3 linked regions of the Oryctolagus cuniculus genome follow. Each later gene encodes a partner of the first gene's protein in a complex. Links are inferred from orthologs where the notes say so. Each region holds a gene or a part of one and is shown on either strand. Other genes may lie near its edges.

Region 1 (10,310 bases):
GAGTAGGCTGGGGAATCTAGGGAGCAGCCCTGGCTTCCTTCATCCCAGCTCACGTGGGATAATACAGGGAACACCGAGAACAGAAAGGGGAGAGCTGAGAGGCCCCCGGAGCAAAGGCAGGCTTCACTCTCCCCTCCCGGTGTTTCCGTCACCGTTTCCCGCTGTGCTGGCTGGGGGACCAGAGCTTACTCTGTTTTCTCTCTCCAGCGCCTAACAATGTGCTCACTCAAAGCAGGTGCCTATTCAAAGGCTGCTCAACGAGTGACTTTGAACAAGAATGGCCAAAAGCACTGACTGCCACAGGCTTCCCGGCAAGAGAAAACAAACCCAGAAACGGGAGTGAGCTCTGAGGGTCAACACAGGACAGTCCCGGGGAGAGCAAGGACAGCGTTTACCGTGACAGGGCGGGAAGCGCGAAGAGAACTCTAACTACATCAGGGACACCACAAGCGCCCCGCCCGGACAACCTCCACATTCACAGAGCCAGGCTCCAACCCTCAAGGACGGCAACGCGATCTGCTGTCCGGCAGCCGCTACCAGTCCCTTGCATCCATGACCCATTACGAAGCTGGCAGGCTCAGTCAGGTAGATGGGGCTCCAGCTGGGCCGGCCGCAAAGTGGGGGGCCAAGGCGCAACATGCAACACGCAAATACAAAACACCCACCAGCAAGTCCTCCGCAGCAGGCCCACACTTCTCTGAGGCTCCAAGAAGCGCCTCGACCCTGGCTTTCCTTTGGGAGTCTCAACCCAGAGCCCCACCGAGGTAGGGTCCTCAGCAAGGCCCACTCATCAATCACACTGAGCCCATCCGACCTGAGACACCTGCAGGTCTGCATGTGCAGAAGGGACGCATACTCAACGAGGAAACCAAAGGCACCGCCCAGAGCCGGCCCTGCCAGGAGAGCCCAGGCCCGCCCTTGCTCACCTCAGGTCTGTGCTGTCCGCCAGGGAGATGGCGGGCTTCCTCACGGCACTGCTGCACGCGGCGCTGTTGCTGCAAAGGAGACTCGAGAGTCAGCACTTGGCCCAGCCAGGCGGAGTGATGCCCTCAACAAGTCCCACCCAGTGGGGGACCACAGGGCTGTGACATGTGCTAAGGCGGCACAAGAGGCCACGCGGCACAGTGGGGCCGGTGCTGTGGCATAGCAGGTTAAGCCACCGCCTTCACTGCCGGTATCCCACATGGGCGCCGGTTCATGTCCGGGCTGCTTTGGTTCTGATCCAGCCCCCTGATAATGCGCCTGGGAAAGCAGTGGAAAATGGCCCAGGTGTTCAGGCCCCTCCCCCCATGTGGGACACCTGAGGAAGTTTCTGGCTCCTGGCTTTGGCCTGGCCCAGCCCTGGCCATTGCAGCCATCTGGGGTGTGACCTAGTGGATAGATCTTTGTCTCTCCCTCTCTTTCTCTGTAACTTTGCCTTTCAAATAAATAAATACATCTTAAAACAAACAAACAAACAAAAAGCCCACCAGCTCAGGCCTGGACCAGACTGCAAGGTTTGAATCCTGGCTCCAGCACTTACGAGCTATGCAACCTTGGGCAAGGTACTGAACTGCCCTGTGCCTCAGTTTCCTCTAAATTGGGAGTGACACAGGACCCAGGACCCATGTCATTAGCATGAATTAGATCTACAGTCTCCTTCAAACAATGCCTGGGACACAGAGGCACTCGGCGAGTGTGCTTAGCGCTTATCCCTGATGACGCTATCCTCACACGAGCACAGCCAACCTGTCTATCAAACAAGGCGCCGGCGGTGACACCTGCCAGACAAGGCTGAGGTTGAGCCCACCACATGTCACACTGGGTTCTGGCCTCCTGCTGAGGGCAAAACTGCAGAGCAAACAAAATGGAGTCAGCAGGAGCAAAAGAGGGCTCAAATGCAGAGCTTCTTTTGAGGGGCACCAGAGGCCTGGCACGGGCACTGCCTGACTTGAAGGCGCTGCTGGCTTTAGGGAGCTGCAGGCATTAGGGTTGGTCCCTAATGGTGGCAGCTTCCAATTATGAAACCCCAGAGGTGAGAACAGAGCCTGGGGGGAAACCCTCAGCCCAAGTGGCCCGTTTAACCCCTTCAAAGCCAGTGTGTTCTACAGACGGTCCTCCGTCCAGCCCTGCCCTCGCCTCCCTACTCAAGCCCCGCAGAAGTGCTCACTCTATTTCCATGTTCAGAAGCTCCACCAAGGCGTTGAACGTGCCCACCTCCAGCAGCAGAAAGATGTTGTAGCGCATCCAGAACTGCACCTCTGCCTCCGAGCTGCACTCGCCAAAGGTGCCTGCCAACACACGGCAATGCTCGCCAAGCCCACCCCCACGTCTGACTGGGCGACGTCACTGGCAGAGGCGCCAGGGGACCCAGGCGAGGCCCACCCAGTACCTTGGGCAACGTAGAGAATTGCTCGAGCCACCTTGAGTCTCTTCTCCCTGGCAGTGACTTCCAAGCCATCCAAGAGCCTCATGGCATGGGTTCGGTGCTGGTTGGTGTCCAGCTCGGTCCACTTTTTGTCTGTCACTGCAGGGCAAGACACCAGTGATACCTGAGCCTAGAAAAATGCTCACAATGGAAGAGACCCGCTGTTGATCCACCAAATTCAGGATTGCCATAGGGGTGGAAAGACCGGTGACTCTGTGGAAGGGGCAAGGTCCGACTGCTGCTCTATGAATCGGAACTTCCTGACCCAAACACTACAGTCACACAGATTCTTCCCCAGTGCTCACATTCTGAAAAGCCGCCAGCAAAGGCCCACAAGGCGACTCTACGTGCTGCACCCGGCCTGGAACAAGTCGGTCCAACAGGTTTCTCGGGCCATTCCAGGATGACTTAGGTCATCCAGATGACTAAGAGAAACTGGAGCTCTTGCAACGCCGGTGATGAGCCAAGAAATCAGGAAACCACCTCACCATGAGTCCTGAAGTCTTCCTCGAAGCATTTTCTGTTCATCAGGAATTCCGGTCCTTCCGTGTAGCTGTAAAGCTCTGTCAAGAACAGAGTCTCGTCACAGCAGCTCCACACCTGCTTCCCCAGGGGACTCCCAAGTAGCCAGCAAGGTCAGGTGTGTGCTTCCGGGACCAACTCTGCCCCTGCACCCGTCGACTCCTGGCCTATGCTAATCACTCGGGGTGGGGGTGTCTTAGGGCGCTCGGGTATGTAATGCAGAGAATGCTGACTCCCCCTGCAGCTGAAATCCAGGACACCGGAGAAGCATAAATACAGGCACTTCCATCTGATACGCACCGATCCACCATGCCACGCCACGCCACGCCATGCCATGCCAGAGGTGAGCGCCACCTTGAAACTGTCTCCCCAGTGCTACCTGCCAACTGACCCGGGAGTATGGAGGCTGGAGAAGCAGCTCACATTGGACTTAGGTCACACAGGAGTGGCTGTGGCAATGGCAGATCTGCACACATGCAGGCGTGTTTGCTGGTATCTCCCATGACACACTACTGTATGGGAGGCGACTGCTGGGGGACAGTGTATGGCCAAGGAACATTACCATGTCACCCTGGGACTAGGCCCTAGCCAACTGAGCTGAATACAGAGATGTTTCAGAAAAGTAAAGAACAGGGCTGGCGTTGAGGCCTAGCAGGTTAAGCCATTGCCTACAACGCTGGCATCCCATACGAGTGACAGTTTGTGTCTCAGCTGCTCCATTTCTGATCCAGCTCCCTGCTAATGTGCCTGGGAGAGCAGCAGAGGATGGCCCAAGTGCTTGGGCCCCGGCACTCACGTGGGAGACCTGGATGAAGTTCCAGGCTCTTGGCTTTGGCCTGGCCTAGCCCTTGCCATTGTGGCCATTTGGGGAGTGAACCAGCAGATCAAAGACCTCTCTTTTTCTGTCTTTCCCTCTCTCTCTGTAATTTTGCCTTTCAAATAAATTAATACATCTAAAAAAAGGAAGGAAGAGAGAAAAAACAAATGAAAGAGAGAAAGAGAACAAACAAAAGAACGATCGAACCCAGTTTCAAGGTACACAAAACTTAAACAAAATAACATACTATTCACATATATGTATGCATACATATGTGTGTGTGTGTATCACTGATACAACTAAGGAAAAAATGATTCCAAAATGATACACATTGTAAATCTCCGTAAAGACCAATATGGAGAAAACTGCCCCCAGATGACAAAAGGACTGTGCTTTACCCGACAGCTCTGCGGCCCACTTGTCTGTGTCAGCATATTCAAACTCAAGGTCTGGTGACTCGGAGTAGCCCTGTTGACAAAAGGAGACAGCGTTACGCGTACTTTACAAAGCAGGAAACAGAAATGCACCCAGAGCCACCACTGTTCCCAGGAAACCACTGCCTCCCCTTTGCTTGCTGTTCGATCACCATATTTCGTCTCCTGGGCTAGCCCCGCGCTCCTCCCCACCAAGCCGTCTCAGAGCACCTTATCCTGTCCCTCCAGAGCGCCTGTAACTACTGCATGTGGGGTCCAGTTTCCACCTCGCCACGAGACTGCAAGGCCCTTGAAAGCAGGAAGTCAGTCCACGTTGATCAGCAGCGATTTCACAATGCCCAGCACAGTCCTCCACTGCTTTATATTCAAATCCCTCTCAAATGAACGAACACAAAGCTTCCAAGTACGTTGTGCCCTGAAGCCACTATTCCACAAAGTGCTAGGATTCCAGAATCTAGGCAGCTAGTGGGCTATCAACCCAGCATTCAAACTCTTAGTCTCTCGCCCTTGTCTCAAACTGCAGTGAGAACTGACAGAGAAGGCAGCAAACAGATGGGCCCGCCTCCCACACACAGGAGAATGCGACAGACCCTTTTCACTGCTGGGCACAGGTGATTACCCAGAACACACCGTCCTGTAGGCCTCGCGATAGCAGAGTGGTGAAGAGAGCGGTTCCCACCCTCAGTCTTAGGTAACATCTACAACAAGAGCTCTGCCCCTTATTCCGAGACAACACACGACCCCTCTCCCAAGTCACTGAGCTTCGCACTTTCCTTTTTAGAAGATTTACTTTACTTAGTCATTTGAAAGTCAGAGTTACAGAGAGAGAGAGAGAGACAGAGAACGAGAACTTTCACCCACTGCTTCACTCCCCAAATGACCACAACAGGCAGGGCTGGGCCAGGCGAAAGTCAGGCACTTCATCTGGGTCTCCCACACGGGTGCAGGACCCCAAACGCTTGGGCCATCTTCCGCTGCTTTCCCAGGCCATAGCAGAGAGCTGGGTCAGAAGTGGAGCAGCTGGGACTTGAACCAGTGCCCATATGGGATGTGGGCCTCGCAGGCGATGGCTTAACCCACCACGCCACAGTGCCAGCCCCAGTTTCTTCCTTTTTGGAATGGGGATGAGGAAAGTCTACCCTGCAGGTTTTTAAGAACCGATCAGGATTATGTAGCACAGAGCGCTCTCGGCAGAGATCAGCCTCCCTATCTCCCAGGCATAGATCCAGCTCCCAGCTACTGCCTTCCGCCTGACTCAGCCTCTGCACCTTAAGGAGACACCTGCAGACAGTCTCCTGGCCTCCCGTGGGTTCAGTCTCGGTGGAAATGAAAAGGTAGTAAGAGACGTGAAAATGCACCCAACGGTATTCAACTGGTCATGGCTACTCAGGAAAATGTAAAGCCATTTTCAAAAATAACCCCTCTCAGGATGAAGGTGGGCTTACGCCCCTCACTCTCACAACCTCCCCGTGCTTGAAAAAGTACTGAGTCGTCCTCCTGGATGTCCCACCACCCACGGGTCCCACAAACGTCGGTTTCCTTTGCTTTTCCAAAGAATTCACTTCCAGCTCCAACTCTGAGCTTGCCAGTGTTTTACACCAGAGGTCTGGGGTTGCAACAAAAGCACAGAAGACGGAGAGGAGCTGATCCTGCACGTCCAAAGCCAGTATCCCGGCTCTGCGGCGGGGAAGAGTGGGGACACTGCGCCTGGACAGCGATGGCTCCCTCTCACTCATCAGCGCCAGTCGGCGGAGCGGCCCGGGATTGCGTCAGGTGAAGGAGACTGCATAGTAAGAGCTCTGGCACGCGCTGATTACGATGCCCTACAACGCTGCGACGTGCGTCTTCATTCATGAATCTGCGCAGGGAAGCGGTAGGAGCAACGCCTTCTCTCGGGGCGAGGTGAGCAGTCAGCTGCTCCCCAGCCGGCGCCCCTGGAACTCGAGCGAAGCCTGGGTCCCCGGCACGAGTGCGTCTAATCCTTTAAGGGCCCCCAGCATCGGGCGCTCTGGGCACACCAAGCACTGCCAACCCATGGCCGGAGCCTGCACCAGAGGCAACGCCCCCTGCTCTCGAAAGCTCCGGCCTCGCTGTACTATGAGTGGTCATTAGCTCCATCCGCCTTCCAGGCGCCTTGTGTCTAAACCCTCGCCAGCCGCCTCCCTGCCCGCCCGCGCCGTCCGGTCGGCGCCCTCCACCGAGAGGATAAGAGACTGGGGGCGCCCGCTTTTCATCGGCGGCCGCGGCGGGGGCGGCTTGTCCGCGGGAGCCAGCGGGTGGATGCCGGCTCCGGGAGCCTGTCTCGGGCGGCGCTGCCAGCCTCACGCCCCCGGCCCGGGGAACTGCCACACCAGCCTCGCTGCCTGCTCCTTCGGCTGTAAAGTGACAGCTCCCCGGTCCCGCCCCGCCGAACCCCCCGGGAAGCCCAGCTCGGCCGCGAGCGCGAGCCCGGGCCCCCAGCCGCCGCCCGCCGGGTCCTAGCCTCGCCCCCAGAAGCTCCTGACCTCCGAGTCTTTGCGCTGGTTGCGGTTGAACTCGCGGGTTTTGCCTCCGGGCAAGAGGCCTCCGCCCGCTCGCGGTGCTCCAGGGGGAGGCTGCGCAGCCGCGGGCGGTGGAGGTGGCGGCGGCTGAGGCTGTTTGTTATTCACAATCAGAGGGCCTGGACCACCGGCTGCCGGCTCCATCTTGGCTGTTCCACACCCCCGGCTCAATTCACGAACAGTCCCCGGGATGCAAATCTCGCGTGACTTCCTCCAGGAACGCTCTCTCTGTTCGCCATATTGAGTGTGGCGGCAAGTGCGGGAAGCCATCTTGGCTGCCCGACATCTCGCGATATTTCTCCTGGCTGAAATACTGGTTTTCTTGGTCTTTTCAGTTTCTGCTCTTTCTCTCCAGTTCTACTCAGATGTCGTTCTGTGTGTGAGGCCTGCTCTATCTCGTTCAGTCTGTTTAGCGGCCCCCCTCTTTCCTCTAAAATCGATTTACACTTAGCAATGTCATAGCAGTGTTCAAAACTTAGGGATACCGTAGGGAACAAGATGGATAAGACCTTTTCATGGAGTTTGCACTCATTTGGGGTAGCCATGCACGACTAAATCAATCACAGTGTGGCACGTGCACTCATTGTCTGCTATGCTTAAGCAGTGAGATAGCACAGAGAAAACTCCCAGTCCATAAATGCCTAGTGGGCCAAACAATGAACAAAAAAGGGTGATATTAGAGAAATAAGGCTGTGAGGTATTCGAGGAAAAGGTATTCATGACACTTGTTAAAGATATCAGGGCAGAGCCGGCGCCGTGGCTCAATAGGCTAATCCTCCACCTTGCGGCGCCGGCACACCGGGTTCTAGTCCCGGTCAGGGCACCGGATTCTGTCCCGGTTGCCCCTCTTCCAGGCCAGCTCTCTGCTATGGCCAGGTAGTGCAGTGGAGGATGGCCCAGGTGCTTGGGCCCTGCACCCCATGGGAGACCAGGAAAAGCACCTGGCTCCTGGCTCCTGCCATCGGATCAGCGTGGTGCGCCGGCCGCAGTGCGCCGGCCGCGGCAGCCAGTGGAGGGTGAACCAACGGCAAAGGAAGACCTTTCTCTCTGTCTCTCTCTCTCACTGTCCACTCTGCCTGTCAAAAAAAAAAACAAAAAAACATTTAAAGATATCAGGGCAGAATTTGTTCAACAGGGCACAAGTATAGGGGCCACTGCAACTTTGGCTTGCCTTAAGGGAGAGATTGAACCTAACTTTGCCTCCAAAAAGGACAAGTGAGGATCCGTGGACCAAAAACTACTAGGAGGAAGCATCAAGGGTAAGGTTTCTGACTAAGCTGACTTGACAGGATTACTGCTGGGGGCAGCCAGAGTACTGAGACATCAAGAGTGGTCCCACATCAAGGGTGAGTTTTTTGTTAAACTGACTTTGCAGGATTCTTGCTCAAACTGGATTCAACAAGGACAGAGAAGGGAGCCCCAGTTCAGGCCTGGTCAGGCAGAAGACTCAGGAGCCTTAACAAAGTTTGATCCAAGGAGAGAAAAACAAGAGTAAGTATAAGGGATTATGAGGTGGCAAGTGGGGGCTGGCTAATGGGTTAAGCCACACCTGTGATGCCAGCATCTCATATGGGCATTGGCTCAAGTCCCAGCTGCTCCACTTCCAATCCAGCTCCCTGATAACACGCCTGGAAAAGTGGCAGGAGATTCTATGTATGGTTAGTCCAGTACAAGGGAGACCCAGATGAAGCTACTGGCTTTGGCCTGGCAGAGGCCCTGCAGTTTTGGACATTTGAGGGGTAACCAGCAAATGGAAGATTATCTATCTATTTCTTTATCCCTTTCTCTTTGTAACTCTGCCTTTCAAATAAATAAATCTAAAAAAAAGTGGCAGTGTGTGTGACCGTACTAGGTAGATTGCCTAGTTAGGCAGCCATAAAGATAGCATTTTGGATAAGTTCTGCAAGAAATGAAAGATCCAGGGAGGGAACATGGGCAGAGGGACCAGCTAAGTGCAGAAGCCCTGAGGTCAGTGTGGCTGGAACTGAGCAGAGGAAGAGCAGGAGTCAATGAGAGCTAGATGATGCAGGGGCCAGGAAAAAGCAGAGCCTTGGCACTTAACTTGGATCTTGTTCTAAGTGACATGGAAAACCATCAGTGTGTTAATCAGGTAGATGTCGTGGTCTGATGTTTAAAGATCAACCTGGCTGCTTTTGGAGAAGGGATTGGTGAGTTGTAAGAGTGGATGAGGGTAGACAAGTCAGGAGATGAGGGAGATGGCCATGAGGGTGCTTGTACCAGGATGGGGCATTGGGTTGGTATAATATTTCTATATTGTGTAGGTAGAGGTGGCAGGATTGGCAGATAGGCTGGAATCTTATCAACTGGATAGAGCAATTAAGGCTGAGTCCTAGATTTTTGGGTTGAACAACAAGGGGGATGGTTGTATTACTTTATTAAGAATATTTAAGATGGGGGGCTAGCACTGTGGTGCAGCAGGTTAAAGCCCTGGCCTGCAGCGCCAGCATCCCATATGGATGCTGTTTTAAGTCCCAGCTGCTCCACTTCCAATCCAGCTCCCCTGCTTGTGTGCCTGGGAAAGCAACATAAGATGGCCCAAGTCCTTGGGCCCCTGCACCCATGTGGGAGATCCAGATGAAGCCCCTGGTTCTTGGTTTTGGCCTCGCCCACCCCTGGGCTGTTGTAGCCATCTGGGGAGTGAACCAGCAGATGGAAGATTCTCTCTCTCTCCTCTATCTCTCTCTTAACTCTGTCTTTTAAATAAATTAAATAAATGAAAAAAATCTGGGAAAAGGAAAAACTTGTTTCAGACATGTCAATTCTGACTTGTAGATTACACATCTTAGAAGTGATATGTACTGGCCGGCGCCGTGGCTCAATAGGCTAATCCTCCACCTGCAGCACCGGCACCCGGGGTTCTAGTCCCGGTCGGGGCGCCGGATTCTGTCCCGGTTGCCCCTCTTCCAGGGCAGCTCTCTGCTGTGGCCCGGGAAGGCAGTGGAGGATGGCCCAAATGCTTGGGCCCTGCACCCCATGGGAGACCAGGAGAAGCACCTGGCTCCTGCCTTTGGATCAGCGCAGTGCGCTGGCCGCAGCGCGCCAGCGGTGGCGGCCATTGGAGGGTGAACCAACGGCAAAAGGAAGACCTTTCTCTCTGTCTCTCTCTCTCACTATCCACTCTGCCTGTAAAAAAAAAAAAAAAAAGTGATATGTAATAATTACTTGTTACTGTTACCTGCTGCTGTGTTGTGGAATCCTTAAAGACATTTTTAGCCATCTTGGCTGCTGTGGTTTGCACCTGTCCCACAAAGTTCATGCAACTTAATCCTCAGTGCATAGTGTTGAGAGGTGGAACCATGGGAAGGTGATTGGGTCATGAAGCCTCTCCCCTCAAGGATGTATTAATGTTATTACAGGAGTGGCTTTAATTTCACGGGAGTGGGTTTCTGATTAAAGGATGACCTTGCTCTCCTCCCTCTTGCGTGTGCACACACACACACACACACGCTCACATACATGTGTGCACTCTCTTGTCTCTCTGCCTTTGACCATGGGATGATGTAGCAAGAAAGGGGTCATTGACCTTGGGCTTCCCAGTCTAAAAGGAACTAAAAGGAACAAGTCTCTTA
Region 2 (10,435 bases), on another chromosome or scaffold:
TTTTAAAGAGACTACGTATCTGGTGAAGAAGACAGTTATGAACTCAGCTAACTACACAAAGCACAGTGCTAACCATTCAGAATAAAGCCAAAGGAATATGAACGAGGAAGATTAATCATCAGTTCTCAACCAATCCGTAACCATCAGCATGCTAGTATTAAGTAAGCTAAAAAAGCAAACAAAAACAGTGAAATATCTGCCTCTATTAATTTCACTAGAAAGAATTAAAGAACAGTGAACTAGAACTGTTCAGGTCTTCAAATCATGAGGGAGAAAACATACTGAATTCTTAATTCTAACACTAGTCAGATTAATTTACTTCTGGAAGGTCAAATGCAAAAACAATAAATGCCCAACTCCACATGCACTTAAACAAAATCAGTCTAACGTCTTTTATGGTAGAGGCTTAACAGAAAAATTAAAGGACAAATTCAGTATTTATAGAATGAAATATGCTTTCTCAAGGTAAGCTTCAATAAACATAGCATCTCCAGTGACCTAAGGTTAAATGGTGGTAACGCCACGTCTGTGATTCCCTGGCTATATAATGTAGACCTAGGATGCCACCAGTAGGAGAGCCCTTTCCTCTCATCCATGTTCCCTATCTCTGAGATGAATCTAAAAATACTGACACTCAATGTTATGATGTCTTCATGGTACTCACACTCTGAATCAAATTTTGTTCAATCAATACTTTTGCAAAAGTTAAGTAGAACAGGACATTCTCAGAAAGACTTAAGCATAGTAATCCTTCTGTGAGGTCAACTGACTCTGGTCTATCAAAGTGCAAAATATATCAAGGTATACATTATTGTTGGCCAACAGCTCTAATTCAGTAAGTGGTTATGCTGAGCATGACATAAAATGCTCAAGACTAGCCAGAGAGAAAACATATGTGGTCTCCAGAAGCTAATACTTTTGTTACATGAAATACATTTTCCAAACTTTAAAGACTAAATTCTTGAAATATTAAAGGTAAGATTAAAAACAAAACAAAACAAACAAAACAGTTGATCATGATTCCTTTAATCTTTTGAATTTACAGAAAGCAAGAAGGAAAGAAAGGAAGGGATGGAAAAAATTCAAGAAGAAAAGGGCAGGAAAACAACAGAAAATCAAAGGAAAGGGCTCTCTGGCTCATTCTTCTCTGGTTCAAATATCTCTGTTATAAGATGGAAAACACTACTTCAGCTTTTCACTTCATTTTCACATTTTTCTGAATAATGTTTTACTTACAACTGAATGCATACATATAGAATCTTTAATACTTTAATAACCTATGATTACTCAAAATCTAAAGAATTAATATCACTCTGATTCCAGCTAAAATGAAAATTCTGAAATAATGTCTCCAGCCACGGGATGTAGTCTCTAGAGATCAATGATTGGAATGAAAAGGGCATGGAATCCCTCATAGGCATTTAACAAAAAGTATCACATCTCTTTTCATTCTTGCTGAGGGTATGTTTCTCAGCTTTCTTCACGTCTATCCTCCTGTCTCTCCTCACCAAAACCCTTAGAATTTGACCACTTAGAGCTTGTTCTTTTATGCTGCATGCATCAGTGAATCCTCCTGTTAGAAACCTATGCTACTCAATTATTTTTACTCAATAAGCTTTGAGTCAGAATTTTAAATTGAAAGATGAATCCAAGATATACTGTAATTTGAAATTAACCAAGTTTTGGATAAAGAATAACATCAGAGCAATTTGCATTCAAGAGAGACATTCTGTACTCTGTGGCTTTTCCTTCTCTACATATCATATATTCACTGATAGACAAATGTAGCAGCAAAAATCAAGAAAATATGTAAATATGCTTTTAACATAGGTATTATTTTATATATACTTATAAAGTGATATATAGTGAACTTCTCAACATCAATCAAGAAAAGTTGAAGATGGAATGTGAATATCAATTAAGATCAGTCAAGAGTTCAAGGTAATAAACAAATGTCTAAGCACCATACACTGCTAATGTTTTTCTCTCACATAAAAGCATGATCTTCTTACTCTCAAAAGATACAACAACCCAATTTCTCTAAATGACACAATAAAAAGGATCAAAACCTTGGAAAAACGTGAAAAATTCAGTACCTTAATACTACAAACTCATCCCTTTCTGATGAGATTCTTATCTTTTTATATACCTCAGAGCAGAAGACCTGTAAAGAGTTGGGTTTCAAAGTATATCTGAATTTCAACCTTTGTGATACTTATTTTCTATTCATATGCTTGGTTATTGTCAACAAAACTCTTGCAAAAATATCTTTTGACAAAGGCTTTGTAAGAATTCCGTTGCCAGTATAAAATGAATTATCATTACTATTACTAATACATGAGAGAAATAACCTGGCTACAGTAAATATTGAGTTTCATAAAATGAATTAGTAGTACAGACTACAAGAGAATAGAAGATTCTGATTCAGGACAATCCACTTAATCACAAATAACAAGGACAAATGTGATCTTTTTCCAAGCCTCACTAAACCCTAGTACCCAGTTTTTCCTACCAAAATAATTTTACAGAGTCATAGCAGCTATGTGGATTAATAAGATTCTCCAATGGTGTAGCAAAGATAAAAATCTGACTCTTACCATGGCTGCTAATTTTAGTGGCTACAGTGGCTTTTTCATTCTCCTAAGCTCTTTGTTGCTGCTAATACTTACCTGATCAGCTCCGGGTCAATCTAAGAGCAGCTATTTTGCTAAGATTTGTCTGTCTCCATAGTTCTGCAGTGTGAGTGTGGGAAAGATGGAGTATGTATATACTGGTAAGTCACTTAAGCTTTTCAGTAGTAGCACTCAGTAGGACTGAACTTTAAACAGAGAATTCCTTTGAGCCATTTCTTTTCAAAAACAAATGTGTGCAGTACAAAAATAAAATTGAAAATCCTAGGTAAATCAGGAAAACTGGAAAATAAAAGATAATTACTCCATTTTATTGACCCTAGTTCAAAAAAACCTAGATGAAAGTATTCCCAGACTGAAATATACAACTATCACAGTAAAGGCATTTCAGAACAAAATGTGCTGCAATACCCTACTATGATTAAAAGCCATGTAATCTGGGGAACTCTGTAACAAAAAGAAAATGAAAAATGAACTCACCAGATAGATCCTACTACTTTTCTAAAGAGAAAAGCCTGCAATTTTTGTCAGTTACACAAAGCTAGATGCACCTTTTATCTTCAGCATATTTCCATCTACACCATATTTCCACCCATAAGTACTATTATAATTACACTCAAAGAAATATACACATGGCTTAATTCTGAGAATAAACTCTTATTTTATGATGTTTTTAACCGGAACCCATCATAATTCATACAAAGGGTAAACATTTAGCACGTACGCACTAAACACAGAAAAGATCCTCAGACAGCTTTCCTTGTCCTCTTGTTTTCTGAAATGTACACATATCACTGGACACAAATGAGCGAATAAGGAGCAGCAATGATGTACACCATATGTTCCCACTGTAGGCTGAGTCCAGGTCTTTGTTCCAATATTCCAGAGTCGCTGGAAGGAAAGCTAAGTGCCCATCCACTAAAACACATTTTTACACTATTACTGGCAAAAGTTATACTTCCCACAGGTTCAGGGAGCACCCATCCTATCCCGCTGTTCCTGACTGCATTAGCTTAATACAGATCTCGGAATTCTACGGACCTGCATTACAACCACCTTGGATAACAGGTCCGCAGCGGACAATCTCAGCATCCAACGTACCCGCAGACGCTGAAGAAGAACGCAAAGTTATTTTCTAGGGATACAGTTCGGAAGTAATTCTGTATCAACGACGAGACGTTTGCTTTTCATCAGCTACGTACCGATCCAGAATACCGTCCACCCGGTCCTCAATCAGTAGGGGTTCCCTCAATCTTGAGACCTCCCACAACAGTTTGAATCGTGCAACTCAAACCAAAAACACCAACCACACCCTTTATACCCAGGGTCAAGCGACCTTTCTTTCTTTTTTTTTTTTTTTTCCTCCTCAAAGTCCAAAAATGTGCATCTTTCACCCGAAAGGGTTTGCCCCGGTTTTTCCAGCCGAAGGCAGACGGTCTGAGCTGTGCCCTGCTGCAACTGCTGTGCAAAGACGCTTCCTCCCGGGCAGTGTGCGGACGCCCCGGAAAACGCGCCCACGCTTACCTCCCGCACACCTGCCACCCTCGGCGGACGGCTGGAGCTGAGGCTCGAAGGGACTGCACTCCGCTCAGCTCCCGCTCCTGCTCGGGTCTCTCCCGGGAAACTACGGTCCAGGCTGCGCCTTCGGCTTCCACCGGGACCCAAGCTCCGCCTCTCCCTCCTCCAGTTGGCGAACTGGGCAGCTGTTGCTCCTCCCCCTGCTGTTCCTGCTGCTGCCGCCCGGGTCCCTGCCCGCTCCCTGCACTTTGGAAGCTGCTCCAGCCGCTTCCCTCGTACCGGGGGTCCCCCTTTCCTCCCACCCTCTCCCCGCTCTCACACCTGGACTTGTTCCCTTGCCGCGCCCTGGCGCCTCCGCAGGTAGCCCAGGCTCAGCCCATCGCTCCCCAACCTGCGGGTCTGGGGCTTGGCGGAGCTGCTTATCCCGGCCGCGGAGCGTCCCCGCACTCCCTGCACTCCAGGCTCCCTCTCTGCCCGCGCTGCAGACCCATTCCACCGGCCCCACGTTCCCTACCTCGGGCCCCCCCACCCGCTTCCGTCTTCTCCTCCGGCAGCCCGCCCCCTCCTTGGGTGAGGCGCCTACGGGGCCGACCCTGCACCCTGATTGGCGCAGGTGAGAGCCGGCCCCGCCCTTCCTCCCCTAGCCTTGCACCCTCTCTCTCCCTCTCACCTCCTCCCGCAAAGGCCGGGAACTCTCCTACTATTGGCTACGAGTGTCCCCACCCATCGCCTTAGGCTCTGCCGTATGGCCTGCCGGGAAGTGTAGTCCTAGGAGCGCAGGAATTGCAGACGACGCCGGCGAGCGAGACTACGAGTCCCCATAGGCCACTGCGCCTCTCCGGCTGGGCAGGATTCCGGACAACGCCTGGTTCCTCTCGGGTCCTTCCGGCGTCGCCGGAGTGAATTGATCCGGGAGTTGAAGAGGGCTCCAAAGGTGGGAAGTGAAGTCAGTGCCTCAGTTGCCGGTAAGGTGCGGGTGTTCTGCCCCTATCCCCGTGTCTCCGCGCGCGGTGGAAGAGGTCTGGGGTCACACAGGGGCCGGGGCTGAGGCACTCGGGCTTGGTACTGGCTGGCGGAGCGGACGGGGCTGGGAGCGGGGCCCTATGGGCGTAAGCGAGGTTACCCTACGCGAGTGGCGTAAAGCGGGTTTGTAAATGCCGCCTGCCCGCCCCGCTCGGGCCTGGACGCCTCCAGGAAGTGTGCTCTAGGTGGGGGCGGAGGGGAAGGGCGAGGTTGGCCTCTGGTTCCCCCCGAGAGGAGAGAGGGCGGATGTGCCTGGGGTGGGGTCCTCCGAAGGTGTGGCTTGGGGCGGGAGAGGTAAGGCTGCTGTTTCCCCCTTGCTTCGTAAGTGTGGCTGGGGAAGGAGGGGTTGCTTGGAAGTCTTCGCTCCGGGGTGACTGGGGTTATGCCCTTTGAAGGAAAAGGAGAACGGAGTAGGAAGAGTCAGATGTTGACAGATCGGCGGATTCTGAGTGTTTTGAGATGGGGTCCCTGAGCAGAACCGCTCGACCCTGTTGAGGGTGTGATACCCAAGATAGGTTTGTTTACGGCTGGAACTGCTTTCGAAGAGCTTTCCCGTCAGGATGCTGTTGAAGAAATTGAGGGAGTAAATGACGTGCCCAAGGTCACACAGGCAGGGACTTGGTCCTGAACAGGACAGAGATGCCGGCGGAGTCACAAAGTGCGGAGACGGGCCGTGTTTCTTGAGGAAGGTGGAGGAAGTGACACAGTAATGGTATTTTATGGATTTCTAAGAAGCTATGAGTGATTGAAGGGTGACTTTTTTTTCCCTCTCTCTCTCTCTCTCTTTTTTTTTTTTCTAAACTGGGGTGAAATTCCTCACTGAAGCACTTTCTCTGACCTTTTTGAAAAATAAAAAGGATCAGTATCAGTTACGTATTTTGTCCTTTATTGGGGCTATATTAACGATCGACTTCTCCCACAGTCCATTTTTAAAAGTAGATAGTGAAATAGGAGAAAGTCATTTAAACAGTGTATTCCATCCTTACTGTGAAAAGGATATATTCCTTTCCCTTCCTGCCTTAGGTGGTTTTTCCACTCTCATGTTGTAAAACTGAGAACAGTGGGGATGGAATTCTTTAACAAAACTTACTGTGCACTTTTTTTTTGTTTCAAATAATGCAACATTAAGGAGAGTTTAGTGTGCTCATTACTAGAAAAGAAGATAACATTGCATTTCTTGGAGGTAACATATTTTTGTGATTCATTTGCTTCTCCCCTCTTTGATTCTGTGTGTGTGTGTAAATAAAAGAATGAGGCTCTTACATATTTTAATTTTCTCAGCATCATCTGTGACTTTTTAAATTTTTTTAAAGATTTATTTTTATTTATTTGAAAGAATTACACAGAGAGGTAGAGACAGAGAGAGAGGTCTTCCATCCAACAGTTCACTCCCCAGATGGCCACAACCGCTGGAGCTGTGCTGATCTGAAGCCAGGAGCTTCCTTCAGGTCTCCCACGTGGGTGTAGGGGCCCAAGGACTTGGGCCATCTTCTACTGCTATCCCAGGCCATAGCAGAGAGCTGGATTAGAAGTGGAGCAGCTGGAACCAGAACTGGCACCCGTATGGGCTGCTGGCGCTTCAGGCCAGGGCTTTAATCTGCAGCGCTACAGTGCCAGCCCCTATCTGTGACTTTTAATTCATTCTTAGTTTGTATTAAAGAATGGAAAAGCAGGACACATTTCATATGGAGTAGAAACTAATGCACCTCTCCCAGTCTTATCTCCTGTAATTGTTACGACCCAGGACAGCTCCTCAGTATTAATACTGAATAGTTTTTTTTTTTTAATAGAAATGTGGGAATATGTTCATTGATGTCAGGATTTTTTCACATTAAGTTTATATTCATAAATAATCTATTTGCAGTTGGCAATCATCTGTCATGGTTTATTGTTATCTAAGTTGACCATTGAAATACATTGTATTTTGAACACACTATAAATATTAATATTAAATGTGTGTAATTTTTAAATGCAGCAGTATTTTCTAGGATCAAATGTATCATATTCCCATATTATGGAAGTTAAGATGGTCTGGAAATTGATACAACTTTAAAATGGAAGGAGAGGTATGATAGTATAGAATCAAGTGAAATCGAGAATAATAAGCACCATAAGCAAAATAGTGCACCTGTAAGGAAGAGTCAACCAAACAGGTGGAAAATTGTGTGGAGTTAACTGGCTTTGTGTCAAATTAGAAAGGTGAAGTAGTTTAAGTAGACCATAGATGCATTAGTAAGTGGTGGTAAGCAAGAATGTTAATACATTTTCTAGATGGCAGTGTAAATATTTGCTTTTGTTGGGCACGGTGTGAAATGAGTTCTGACTTTTGGCATGCAGCTGTGTGGTTATGAAAAGAGTTTTTGAACTAGAGAAATTTTGGAAATAAGTGAAGTTAATATAATCTACTTGTTCAGCATATATCAGTTTTTGTTCTTGGTTCAGTTTACCATGAATTTTTCTTTATCTCTGAGATTCATTTCAGTTTTGATATTTCACCTCTGCTGGAATGTCATTGGAATGTTTCTCTTACATTTATCATCTTCCGGCCACATGCTTGAGTACAGTGATCATTTGCATATTGGATAATTAAGAGAGTTCACAGAGTGATGTGTGCATCTGTGTGCACTTTACTGTTATCCACATTTGTTCTCATTTTGGGGTTTACAAATAGAAGAAGAGAGGCCATGTTGTATTTATCACTGTAGTCTCAGTAGATGGCATAGGTTGAGTGCCTTTTTAAAAAGACTGAAGAGATTCAGTTGGGTTTACTTGCTCAAGGTCATGTAGCTGGTAACTGGTGGGAACAAGGCATGGGTAATCTGGATCTTCTAACTGCATCTTTAATATTATGGAATAGGACTTAGTTTCTGAGATTATTTCCTTTTGGTGAGAAAACACATAACGTGACTTAAATGTTCAAAGGTTATAACCCTTTTGACTCTTATTTACTGTTGACAATATGCTTTGATTTCCAGCCTTTCTCATTTGTCAGCCCTTTTAGTTACTAAATACTTAAGTCCTTACTGACTTCAGGGCCTTTGCACATGTTTTGTTTCACTGCCTGGACTGTTCTCAAATCTGACCAAATCCTAGACACTTTTCAAGTTTCATTTTAAATGTCATTCCTAAAGGGAGCCTTCCCTAACCTTGAACTGCTCCTTTCCAAAACCAGAATAGGTCTCCACTGTATCTTCACTATACTCTGTACTGCTTTGTGGCATCATCACAAGAGGATCTTAATTATTTCTGATTTATTTGGTAAATATTTGTTTCTCTCACTGGACTTTAAGCTACCTGAGCAGGGCTCTCTGATTTGTCGTGTATCCTACTCCTGTACTTAAATGGTACATGGCACAATGTAAGTGTTCAGTAAATATTTGCTGAATGAATAAATGAGTATATTCATTCACAGTGTTTCTTTCACTTTGCTAGAAACAGAAATTCAGAAATGAATAAAAGAGATAAGCTTCCTGCCTACATAAAGGATTGAAGCATGTGGGAACATGCTTAAGAAATTTAAAGAATAGATACAAAGGCGTTCTTTACAGATATTTAATAAAAATTTTAGAATGATCTTCATTTTGTATTTGAGGTTTCTGAAATCAGGATAGGGAGCTTTCTGTATGGAAATGATGGTGCTTTTTCCCTTGTCTCTTTATCTTTTTGTTTGCTTGCTTGTTTGCTTGTTGTTAACTATCTTCCTGTCAATTTTATATTTATTAATCACTTGCTTTCTGTAAGGTGACTTTGTGAAATTGAGTAGTTCTTGTTTCAGAGTAACTTGTATATTGGGCTTCTTGAAAAAATTCATTACTATTGAGAGGATCTTCAGGTAATGTATTATTTGCCTTAAGTCAAGAGACTTAAGGAATACATTTTGTTAGGTTTTGGTTTTGAAAACAAATTTTATAGCCTGTTACAGTACCACAGTAATGGAAGAAATTCAACAGCCCTAATTTGCTGTAGCCTTATATATATTCGTGGATTTTCTGATTCACTTTTCCATAAGATACTGAAAAAGCGATTGTTGGTATTTGGCTTCAAAATTGATAACCCTCCCCGTTTTTGTTACTGAATATAATTCTTTACTAAGTCTTAAACTTTCTTAAAAGTCAATTCTAATGTCATTTGGATGGTGGATAAAATTTTCGTATTTACTTAGCATACCCAGTATGTGGAAGATAGAACTGATGTACTATTTTATTTTATTTTTTTAAGATTTTGTTTGTTTATTTGAGAGAGAGTTAAAGAGAGAAGGAGAGACAAAGAGAAAGGTCCTCCATCTGCTGGTTCACTCCCCAAATGGTTGTAACAGCCAGTGCTGGACCCATCCAGAGTCAAGAACCCCTTCCAGGTCTCCCACAGGGGTGCAGAAGTGCCCAAGCGCGTGGGTCATCTTTCACTGCTTTCCCAGGCCATATGCGGAGAGCTGGATTGGAAGAGGAGCAGCTGGGACAGGATCTAGCGCCCATATGGGATGCCAGCACTGCAGGTGGAGGCTTAGTCCTCTACGCCATAGTGCCAGCCCTTCATGTACTACTTCTTATATTCATGTTATTGTAGTGTTAAAATTATTTTGATAGGTAATGTTACTAAGATTTTAGACCAGTTCTGTTAAATAATTGTTTCCCTGTAATATAAACTAAAAGTGATGTAGAATTTAAATAGTGTGATTATGTATGTTACTGCCTTTGTAATGTCAAAGTTGCAGTCTTAGAGGCTTATGCTTTAGGACTGTATATTCATGCATGAACACACAGTGTAAAAAATGAAAGCATCTTTATTGCAGCAATGAGAAAAATTTTATTTGCTGACCATAAGCAGTGTGGTTTGGTGGTTCATTTTTGTTTCTATGAAGTTGTTTTCTCACTTACCCTAAAAAATTTAAATATAACTTGGGTATATTGTGATGTTAATATCTTATTTTTCAAGGTAACCCTTCGTTTTTGACATGGATAACCAGATTTGTAACTACCTAAAAATGATTTGAATCTCTTCAATTTTATTCTTACACTGTTACCTAGAATTAGATGTTGCTGTATGGGTTATAGAAGAGAGAGGAAATGGAGAGAAAGGAAATAGAGCAAACCGAGGACTTACTGGGTAACAAGAGTGGAACATATAAAATGGTAGTCATTGCCACTTAGTCAGACCAGTCCCTTGGAAATAAGTTTGCCAGAGGTAAGTCTAAGTTGCATAGTAATAATCCTTGGGTTCATCCACTTACCATGTATTTATTGAGTATATAGTATGTGTGAAATTAC
Region 3 (10,559 bases), on another chromosome or scaffold:
CTCTCTTGAGGATTCTTCTGCGATATGGGATCATTCTCCCCCTTTGTTCAGACACACAACCTTGCTGGCCCAAAGCAGCCCCCGACCCACATTCCAGATCAGCCTCCACTCAAGGAAAGTTCACAAAGGGCCTCTGGGTTTACAGAGTGCAGAAGAGCCGGAAAATCATCGGATTGTTCATTTTCTTGAGATTTCTTTTTGTTGCTATATTTTCTTTTTCCCTTCAGAAAGTTCAGTGAGTGCTTCTGGTAAATTCAAAAATAATTTTTAAGATAGATTTATTTATTTGAAAATCAGAGCTAAGGGGCCGGGGGAGATATCTTCCATCCACTGGTTCACTCCCCAGATGGCCACAATAGCAGGGGCTAGATCAGGCTGAGCTCAGGAGCCAGGAGCTTCTTCCAAGTCTCCCACGTGGGTGATGGGGCCCAAATACTTTCACCATCCTCCGCTGCTTTCCCAAGCCATTAGCAGGTGGCTGGATCAGAAGTGGAGCAGCTGGGACTGGAACTGGCACCCATATGGGATGCCGGTACCACAGGCAGCAGCTTCACCCACTACCGTACAACTCCGGCCCCTAAAAATAATTTTCAATATTGCAGAAGAATTTGTGTCATTTTATCTTGCCATAAATACATTTGGCTAGGTCTGCAAATGAAACTTTGGGTTTTCAACCCTTAACAACAGTCCAGCTATCTTGGGCGACACAGGACAGAGATGACTAATTAGGATGTTTTATGATATTTCAGAAATATGAAAAGTCCTGTGCTTTGAAAACCATGGGAAAGGGAATAAGTTAAAAACAGGCAAAGAAACAAAACCAGAACGAGGCAGGATCGGAGTGATGGGTATCCACCTGCCTGGGGGCAGCCTGAGGCCAGCAGATCCAGCTCAAACTCCTCTTGAGAAGAGTTTCAAGACCCTGCAAAGAGGCTGATGTTTTTGCAGTAGTGGGGGCAAACCGCCACCTGGGACACCAGCATCCCCTGTGGACACTGGTTTGAGTCCTGGCTGCTCCACTTCTGATCCAGCTCCCTGCACCTGGAAAGGTAGAGGAAGATTGTGTAAGAACTGGGGCCCCTGACGTCCATGGGTGGAGTTCCAGGCTTCTCATTTCAGCCTGACCCAGTCCTGGCCTTTGCGGCCATTTCTATCTGTGCAACTCTGCCTTTAAAAGAAATCAATGGCCAGCGTCGCGGCTCGCTAGGCTAATCCTCCGCCTTGCGGCGCTGGCACACCGGGTTCTAGTCCCGGTCGGGGCGCCGGATTCTGTCCAGGTTGCCCCTCTTCCAGGCTGGCTCTCTGCTGTGGCCAGGGAGTGCAGTGGAGGATGGCCCAAGTACTTGGGCCCTGCACCCCATGGGAGACCAGGAGAAGCACCTGGCTCCTGCCATCGGATCAGCGTGGTGCGCCGGCCGTGGCACGCCGGCCACGTCGGGCATTGGAGGGTGAACCAACGGCCAAGGAAGACCTTTCTCTCTCTCTCTTTCTCTCTGTCCACTCTTCCTGTCAAAAAAAAAAAAAAAAGAAAGAAAGAAAGAAAGAAAGAAAAGAAAAGAAAAGAAAAGAAAAGAAAAGAAATCCATGCATCTTAAAACAAAACAAAGAAAAAAACCAGCCACAGGCTTCCCTTCGTGCTGCCTCCTGTGGCTCAGTCCCCACGGGAAGCCTGCTGGGACCTGCTGAGACCAGGAAGTGTCCTGCGCTGAGGCTGCCCTGGCTGGTTGGGCTCTGGGTGCTAAGAGGCAGCGAGCAATGTCCCATTACACCAGTAGCTGTCTCAGGGAGGAAGGTTTGTAAAAACCAAGTCACTAGGAGTCAAAGTGAGCAGATAGCAACATAGGCAACACTGCTAAGTAAGAAACTTAAAAACCAAATGCACAGAGCTCAGTCCCAATACCTCCCCATACTAGCAGCTTTTTTGTTTTCTTGCATTCTGATACACTGCTCTGAGCAGGGCAGAAACTGGTGAGGTTTCAGCTGCACTCAGCAGAGCGGCACCTCGCTCCCGGTCTGTTTCACCAAAGCGGCAGCCTCCAGCCTGTGTCACCCACCACTCACCCACCACCTAAAGCTGAGAGCTGCGAGACAATGAGACCCCAGGTGGATGCCCTCCCTCCACCTATGGGGCTTGCAGTCTCTCCTTCCAGATGCCACAAACACAGGTGTGGCAAGATCAGCTAAAACCTAAGGAAACTCTACCCCGTGGCCCCATCACTGAATTCTCTTGGAGACTTTTAGTGGAAATTTTCTAAGATTAAGCTGAGGTTCCAAAGAACATCATAGGTGGCTACATTCCCAAACGAAAATTTATACACCTGTTTGGGGCAGCCTTTTGGCTCTGTTTCTCACCTTTTTTTTTTTTTTTTTTTTTTTACTAACTGCTTCTGCTACAGGAATAGCTCACCTTGTTTGAATAAAGACATTGTAGTACATTATTATTCCACTAGAGTACAGCTATTGAAAGGTTCTTCTGGCCACTCTATTTGTCAACCAAGCAATTTAACCTATTTGTTCATAAATTTAGAACCTCTTGTGTTTCTTTAACTTGTAGGAGGGTGTCTCTACATTGTAAAGCAATCCATGAAATCTATGATGTATTTGAACATTTCAGAAGAAATGAAAATGTATTGTGTCCTTTATTCAATGAGATGAGTGTGTCAGTGTCTGCAACACAGACTGTGAGGCAGGCCTGAGGATGAACAATGGGGTCCTGGTCTCCTGCCCGGGCCTTTGTTAGCAGGCATAGGAGCAGCGCTGAGGGCCGTGCTCACTGGCATAGGTTTGGACTCAGAAGCAGAAGGGTTTCAGAAGGGGGTGCTGCGTTTGCTCCACAAAGACGACTCTCTGGGCCGGAGCAGCTGTCTCTCTATGGTGGCCGGGGAGCTGCCAGAACCCGCGTGCAAGTCTCCGGGCAGAGTTCTGTCCTGCAGCGTGCAGCTCTGTCCTCTCACCGCGGCTGAGCCCCGGGATGCACTCCTCAGGCAGGAAGACGGCTCCTGAGGTAGCCGATTCAGTCAGAGGATCGACGAGTGGGTCAGGAGACGGGGAAACGTAGAAACTGAAGTCAGAAGTGATTGCGTGTGGAAGAGGAAACCAGCTGCACCTGGCCTCCCGCTACCAAGTCAGGACGGGCCGTAATGGAAAACGGATGCGTTGAGAGAAAATCCACCTCCCGGTCCCCTGGCCAGAGCGGCTGCCCTCATCCCACGGAGGCGACGTATTAAGTTTGGCAGCTCTTGTAGCGCTCGCCATGCCAGGGAGGTTATTAAAACCGAACTGAAATGGTTTCATGACTCAAACTGGAAACAAGAGTGAGGAAAATGCTAACACCGAAGTGACAGACCAGAACGAAATGGAGCTAGATCTGTGAGGCTCTCTGGCTCACGTTTCAGGAGGTTCCACGTGTTAAAACAGGCTGAGAGCTTAGCTAAACACAACAAAGGGCCAAGCCAGACATTCAACACCCTGGAAAGCGGGCTGGCCACGGAGAGCGCGCCAGGATTCACGAAGTTTACTGAGCTTCACTTTCTGGAGCCCCAAGACTGGCTGCACTGGAACCACATCCCCTAAAACGTGGTCACATGTGGGACGGCCTCCCACCTCCCCTCGTGCTTCTCAATGATTCGGAGGACTTCAAGGCTATTTCCTGGATATCAAGCCTAACCCCTCACTAAGGAGCTGGGAGAAAGACCCAGAGATGGGAAAAGCAGATGAGTGATGACTTTTACTGTCACAGTTTTGAAGGGTAAAGGTCAAATCCTTTTTGGAAAGACACGCTCATTTCAGAATAATACAGTTGACAACACTTGCTAACATTTTCAAGGGTCTGATGCTAGCAGAGTTGTTCAGGAGAGTTTCTGATAGACTGTGCTTACTCTTCTAAGTCTTTGTACATGTGTCCAAATAAAGCCATTATTGCAAAAAGCCAGCCAACTTCTCAGGGAAGCAGTAAATGGCTTTTCTCTTTGCAGCCAACATGCAAATTTTGAAGCTCACTGAAAGGGTAGTCTCAGGCTTCACACAAGAGAAAATACAGGAAGACCGAGTCCTGCCAATGTAATTACCAGAGAGAAAGAGCTGACATGCCAGTACTAACAGCCATGGCCAAGGACACTGGTAAGAATTGCCATCATGGGGCTGGCGTTGTGGCATAGCAGGTTAAGCCACCACGTGCAATGCCGGCATCCCATTATGGCACTGATTGGAGTCCTGGCTTCTCCACTTCTGACCCAGATCCCTGCTAGTGTGCCTGGGAAAGCAGTGGAGAATGGCCCAAGTGCTTGAGTCCCTGCACTCATGAGGGAGACCGAGTTCCTGGCTCTTGACTTCAGCCTGGCCCAGCACCAGCCTTGCACCCATCTGGGGAGTGAACTAGTAGATGGGAGATCTCTTTCTCTCCCATCTCTCCCTCTCTCTCTTTCTGCAACTCTACTTTTCAAGGAAATAAAATAAACTGCATCATGAAGACAGGGAACATCAGAACTAATGGTCAAAGGCTAGTGTTCTTTAGGATTTCTTGGGATATTTCAGAGATTTTGGAGCAAGAGAGAGAGGGAAAGGGAGGGAAGGAGGAAGGCAATATCACTATGTTCATAGAATTGTATCTACATGTTACATTGACTGCTTATAACTAATTGAAAATCAAAATTAAAAAATAAAATTTTTAAAAACACATTTACTGTTCTCACTTTTATATATATAATACACACACACACACACACACATATATATATAATTTTCATTTGTTTCTCACTCGGCAACCATTCCTCCTGGTGGCTCTACCTTAGCAAGAATATCCAGATTCTTTTTTGTCTTCCTCTCTCCCTCCCCTCCTGCATCCCTCCCTCACTTCCTCTGTGTGTATCCAGATTCTAATGGTATGACTACAGCATTCCTGTGGCAGCCAAGCACCATCATATCTCCTACCAGGTTGCTCTGCACCCATGCGTGCCTCCCTGGGGTCAGTTCTCAACATAAGTCCAGAGTGATGCATGGTCACAGGAGTTCAAAAACTCACAGATGAATAGAAATTTTCTTAAAAGGCAGGGTGGAGATTCTGGCACTATGGTCATGGCGGAGGGGACGGCAGTGTTGAGGCGGAACAGGCCGGGCACCAAGGCGCAGGATTTCTATAATTGGCCTGATGAATCCTTTGATGAAATGGACAGTACACTTGCTGTTCAGCAGTATATTCAGCAGAACATAAGAGCAGATTGCTCCAATATTGATAAAATTCTTGAACCACCTGAAGGCCAAGATGAAGGTGTATGGAAGTATGAACATTTAAGGCAATTCTGTCTTGAGCTAAATGGACTTGCTGTCAAACTTCAGAGTGAATGCCATCCAGATACTTGTACTCAAATGACAGCAACTGAACAGTGGATTTTTCTGTGTGCAGCTCATAAAACTCCAAAAGAGTGTCCTGCTATAGACTATACTAGACACACGCTTGATGGTGCTGCATGTCTTCTGAATAGCAATAAATATTTTCCTAGCAGGGTTAGCATAAAGGAATCATCTGTAGCAAAACTAGGATCAGTATGCCGTAGGATTTATAGAATATTTTCGCATGCTTATTTTCATCACCGGCAGATATTTGATGAATATGAAAATGAAACCTTTTTGTGTCATCGGTTTACTAAATTTGTGATGAAATACAATTTGATGTCCAAGGATAACCTGATTGTACCAATTTTAGAAGAGGAAGTTCAGAATTCAGTTTCTGGAGAAAGTGAAGCATGAAGGGAATCGTACAGAAAAATGTACTGATCACATAATTAACGTTCATTATGTACTGTATATATCATTTTAGACACATCAATCATGTATTCATATTATAGCTTCTTTGTTTAGATTAGGTTTTTGTATGCTGTGTGTTGCCTTTTAAAAGGGGAAATACTTTTTAAGTTATTCATAAGCTGTATATTCACCGGTGTGGCACTCATGGTTTTTTAAATAAGATTAGTATTATCTGTTTATAATGCCTGTTAATAAAAGAATTTACAGTTTGGTAAAATTGCTGCTAAACAATCATTGGATTACAATCCTCATCAAATAAACCCATATATAAAAAGATGAGTAAGCTTGAGGTCTTGCACAAACCATTTACTAAAGAGATAGTAATGTTTTCCTTTCATTTTGTCCCTGAATTTAGATATTATAGAAAATTCTATAGAACATAAACTGTAAACTTTTCCAAAATGAGATAAAAGTACTTTAAAATTCTGTTTATAGTTTTTGATATGCATTTATGATTATGTGTATATCCAAATATAAATGCAAATGAAGCATTAGTAATTCTTATATAATCTTACTATGCTATATAAAGTATATTCTAGGCCAGCATACTTGGAAAGGATATACCTTTTTACAGCAGTGGACTGTTACATATAAGTTGATGCTAATGATAAGGCACATAAAAGGTATTCCCACTGGAAAACTGTTCACCCCCTTCTCACTTCCCATAATCCTGTCCCCAGATACTTTAGCTGAGAAGTCTTTCACCAGACTGTGACTTAGTGGTGACTTATACCTGTTTATACTCATGTTTGTATTAATTGCTTACAGATTTACCTCATATTAGCAATTATATTACACTACAAGAAAGATGTGTTGGCATAGGCTCTTTGTTTTGTGAAAATTTTCTAACTACTTGGAAGACAGACCTTAAAGCCATTTGATTCTTCCTCTCAGTAATATTAATCTTTTCATCTTACTCTAGGCAGCATTAGAGTTAAAGAAATATTGTAGTATTTATTTTGTACCCTTTCTCCACAAAATTTGAATTAAATACATATGTGAGGTTATTTGCAATAATTGATGCAAGGGTGTTGATGAATGGCCATACATTTTTTAGACTTTGTTGTAGCATATAAGAATTTGGGTGCAGATGTAACGATCTTATAATCTATTGAATGCAGTTTTTCATGGAGTACTAGAGAGGTCTTATTGCCAAATTGATTGTAATGAGGCACTAAGATAGGGTAGAAAAATTATACATGTAGTGAAGAAAATACTTAAACTCATCTCTAAGACATATTTAACAAATGTGAGAAAATTTTTCATTTAAAATAGTTATTTTGAAATGAAGATGAAAATGTATTCATCTTGATTGTCTTCAAAGAAATTATTTATACCATATTATGAGACAAGTATGCAAAGAAAAAAATATGAGAAATAGTAGCATACTGAGAGTGTGTGTATATAGTTTATGCCTTTCCAAGGCTGCCAATCGTTTTGGCTTTGAACAGTACTGTCCCAGCAGCCACAGTCCTTATTGTACCCCAACTCACAGCTATCTTTTAGAAGTTTTATGTTCACGGTGAAAGGAATGTTGAGTTTGAAATTATACGTTTTTTTTTTTTAATGTCACTATAAACTAATGGAATAGTAATTTTTAAGCAAACTTGCTGAATATTGAGAGAATAACCTACTAAGTTAAATTATAGATAGCAATGTAGCTCTTCTCTCTTGATGGTTTCTCATAATGGCTTTCTGTTACTTGACTATTTTCTTGGTGAACATTAGAACTAAAATAGTGACTGGAATTGGTTATCTGGCTAAGGATTTTGAAACACATTTTGAATAATATGACTTAGTGTTTAATGGGGAAATAAAATGATATTTTTTCGTATTCATTCCATCTTCCCTGTACTGTGTTTGGAATTGATCATAAAAGAAAAAAAAAAACTCCAAAAGAAAAAAAAAAAAAAAAAAAGGCAGGGTGGAGGGGGCAAGTGTTTAGTGCTGCAGTTATGTTGCCATTTGGGATGCCAGCATCCAGTACTGGAGTGCTTGCTTTGAATCCTAGTTACTCTGCTTCTGATCTGGCTTCCTGCTAATCTGCACCATGGGAACCAGCAGGTAATGGCTTAAGTACTTGGGTCCCTGCCACACACAGGGAAGATCTGGATGGAGTTCTCTCTGTCTCTCTCTCTCTCTGTGTCTCTCTCTGTCTGTCTCTCTCTTTTTCTTTCTCTCTCTCTGTGTGTGTGTGCCTTTCACATCAACAGTGGTTTTTTTTTCTATTTTCTACTTGTTGAATTCTTTACTTAGTGGAGAGTTAAGCTTGTGATTATAAAATAAACTGAAAGTATGTCATTGTGAAAATTAAAAGAAAAAGTAAGAAAGGAAGGAGGAGGGAGGCTGGGATTGTAGGTAGGAGGGAGGCTAGGAGGGAAGTATCATTATGTTCCTAAATCTGTATATATGAAACACATAAAATTTGTTCACCTTATAGAAATAAAAAAAGTTTTTAAAAAACTCACTAATGCCTTTCCATCTTACTCAGAGTGAAAGCCAATGAGACCCCACATCAGTGATTTTCAACTCATACTGGTGATGAAAGTCATCTAGGAAGCCTTAAGTGATCCATGCAACTGGATTGGTTTAGATGGGTCTGGGCCAGGGCTCACACAGGGTCTGGGTCCTATCCAGCACCATCTCTCCTGCCCTCCCTCCTCACTGCACAGGCACTGGCCTCCTCTTGTCCTCTGCATGCTGAACACACTTCCACCTCGGGCCTCACTCTTGTCTCTCACATGATTTGCCTCTTGCTTCTCTCCTTGAGCTGACATTCAAGAAACACCTGTTACATGAATGAAGTATTCCAAGTAACGTAACATGGGAGGGGAAAAGTTCAAGACTGAGTTTTAGGGTAATGCCCATTAAAACATACTCATTGACTTGAAATTTCTCAACTTTAGCTTCAAATCCTTTTTCAGAAACTTAACTATGGCTTCACTGAGAAGCAGGTGCACTTGGAATGAATACTGCCCTGGTCTGTTCATTAGAGTTGCTGGGGGAATGGCCAAATTCTTCTTTTCCATGCTTTGTTTTCAAGAAATTATAAGAAAAAACAGTCAGAACCACAACAAGCAACCATGACTGGGAACTTCCTTGGGTTCCTGTGTCACAGTTTTATCCATACAGATTTTAAATTGTATGCCATAATATGCCTAAGGAAGTTTGAATTTAAAACAGTTCAGTATCACATATCATAGAAACATGCTTTTTGCTTCTCTTTTAGCCTGGAGAACCCTTGCCTGCTCTGTGAGAGAGACGCTCAGCTTGCCTAGATTGAGAAGCTTCACCTTACCCCACCACCTAATTGAATCTGAAGAACTTAAACCCTACAAGGGCAAATGACTTAAGCTGGACCACACTGTTAAGTAGAAACAAAAGTAGAATTCCATCCTGAGCACTGGTACAGGGCTTTTTCTGTGTGCCTTCACACTGCTTTCAAGCACATGGGGAAGTCTTCAACCCATTAAACCCACTGCACATCACCTTCCACTCTCTAACCATGTGATTTGATGAGATCAATGGCAAGGGTGGAGGGAGACTCAGGGCATTGGGGAAAATGCACATAAAGACTTTTCCAGCAAACCCATTTCTCCACGATGAGTCAGAATTTTTGCAGAAACATTCAGCAGAAAATCAAGTTATCAAAAATATTGAGTAGGACCCTGGTTACAGAATCAGGCTTGTCAGGGAACAACAAACAGAGAGCGATTTCTACCCTTCACTGGGAGAATGTGCTAATAAACTGGCAATGCTTGTACCGTGGAATCTCTCAGTACTTTTAAACAGATAAGGGAACTGTTTTCATCAGAAGGCTGTCCACAAAGCAAGTGAGGAAAGACAGCTGATGATACCAATTTGTGTAACAGTTCACCAAACAGGATTCCTATCCTGAAGTGTGCTTGTATGAGCATGGAGAAGGTGATATGGGGATGCACTCCTCCCAGGAACACTCCAGGGACACTGGCTTTCTTAGGAGGATAGAACTGGTAGGAATGCCAAGGGAGGTTCTTCACTTTATCCTAAGGCAACAACTGGACCACCTTCTCCTCAAGCAAGCTTTCTGTTTTAAGTCCCAGAAAATTGGATGAAAATCAAGTCTTGGTGAAAGAAATAGAAGCATTTTTACCGTCTCTTCAGCATACAATAATCTGATTTGGTGGATCTGGACCCACATGAAAAGTCACTTAAAAAAGTGTTCATTGTCACAGATGTATAACCCTAAATCCCCACCTGCTGTGGGGAGGGTAAACAGCCCTCTGTTGACAGAAACGGGGTGGGGGGGGGAGAAATCATACAATGGAGATGCTGGGGGCCTTAATAAAATTATATCAGAAAGAAGATGAAGTCAGGCAGAATTAAATGAGAAGCCAGATTGTAAATCAGCTATGGCAACTTGGTAGTGCATCTAATCTTCAGTCAAGCAGTAGAAGGGATGCTCTCGGTGGGATACTCCAGGGTCCCCATAATTGCAGATGAAAGTGACTTGGAAGAACCTCAGAGAACAAAGTCTGACAATCAGGACAAATATGCAACTGCAGAGACCACTATTTTGTCCCTTAAGGGATGCATCAGGGTCACCTTCAGGTTTCCTGAGAAGCAAAAGGTATAAAAATTATAACGCTAGGGTCAAAGTTAATTTATTTTTCACAGATACTATTAAACACCAAAAATCACTCAGGCAGTGTTCTACATGCAGATATATGGCAGTGAACAAGACGAAGTTCTTGCCTTCAAGGTGTTCCCAGTAGACT

The links.
Region 2: STRIP1 (region 1) and PDCD10 share a complex: the UniProt entries of both Homo sapiens proteins name them as parts of the core of STRIPAK complex. The link is inferred for Oryctolagus cuniculus from reciprocal best matches to the Homo sapiens genes STRIP1 and PDCD10.
Region 3: the proteins of STRIP1 (region 1) and MOB-like protein phocein are in contact, whole or in part, in a cryo-EM structure (PDB 7K36), measured with the Homo sapiens proteins. The link is inferred for Oryctolagus cuniculus from reciprocal best matches to the Homo sapiens genes STRIP1 and MOB4. Residues at the interface, in NP_149079.2 of Homo sapiens: His108, Asn120, Thr124, Met127, Arg128, Leu130, Asp131, Glu134, Val135, Thr136, Arg141, Glu178, Val179, Glu187, Met191, Asp194, Thr247, Leu256; in NP_056202.2 of Homo sapiens: Ile107, Phe108, Leu109, Ala111, Thr115, Pro116, Glu118, Lys140, Tyr141, Ser151, Ala154, Arg161, Arg162, Arg165, Asn199, Leu200, Ser202, Asp204, Asn205.

Annotation. Positions count from the first base shown.
Region 1 is NC_091438.1:60,285,601-60,295,910, forward strand, and holds the start of STRIP1 (striatin-interacting protein 1), read right to left. Parts: upstream 6,906-10,310; 5' UTR 6,865-6,905; coding exon 6,685-6,864; intron 4,215-6,684; coding exon 4,145-4,214; intron 2,971-4,144; coding exon 2,896-2,970; intron 2,507-2,895; coding exon 2,372-2,506; intron 2,271-2,371; coding exon 2,150-2,270; intron 996-2,149; coding exon 927-995; intron 1-926. UniProt on the Homo sapiens protein: Plays a role in the regulation of cell morphology and cytoskeletal organization. Required in the cortical actin filament dynamics and cell shape. Part of the striatin-interacting phosphatase and kinase (STRIPAK) complexes.
Region 2 is NC_091435.1:112,784,705-112,795,139, forward strand, and holds the start of PDCD10 (programmed cell death protein 10), read left to right. Parts: upstream 1-4,933; 5' UTR 4,934-5,113; intron 5,114-5,324; exon of another isoform or gene 5,325-5,883; intron 5,884-10,435. UniProt on the Homo sapiens protein: Promotes cell proliferation. Modulates apoptotic pathways. Increases mitogen-activated protein kinase activity and STK26 activity. Important for cell migration, and for normal structure and assembly of the Golgi complex.
Region 3 is NC_091440.1:69,968,846-69,979,404, reverse strand, and holds MOB-like protein phocein, read left to right. Parts: upstream 1-5,057; 5' UTR 5,058-5,067; coding exon 5,068-5,745; 3' UTR 5,746-7,640; downstream 7,641-10,559.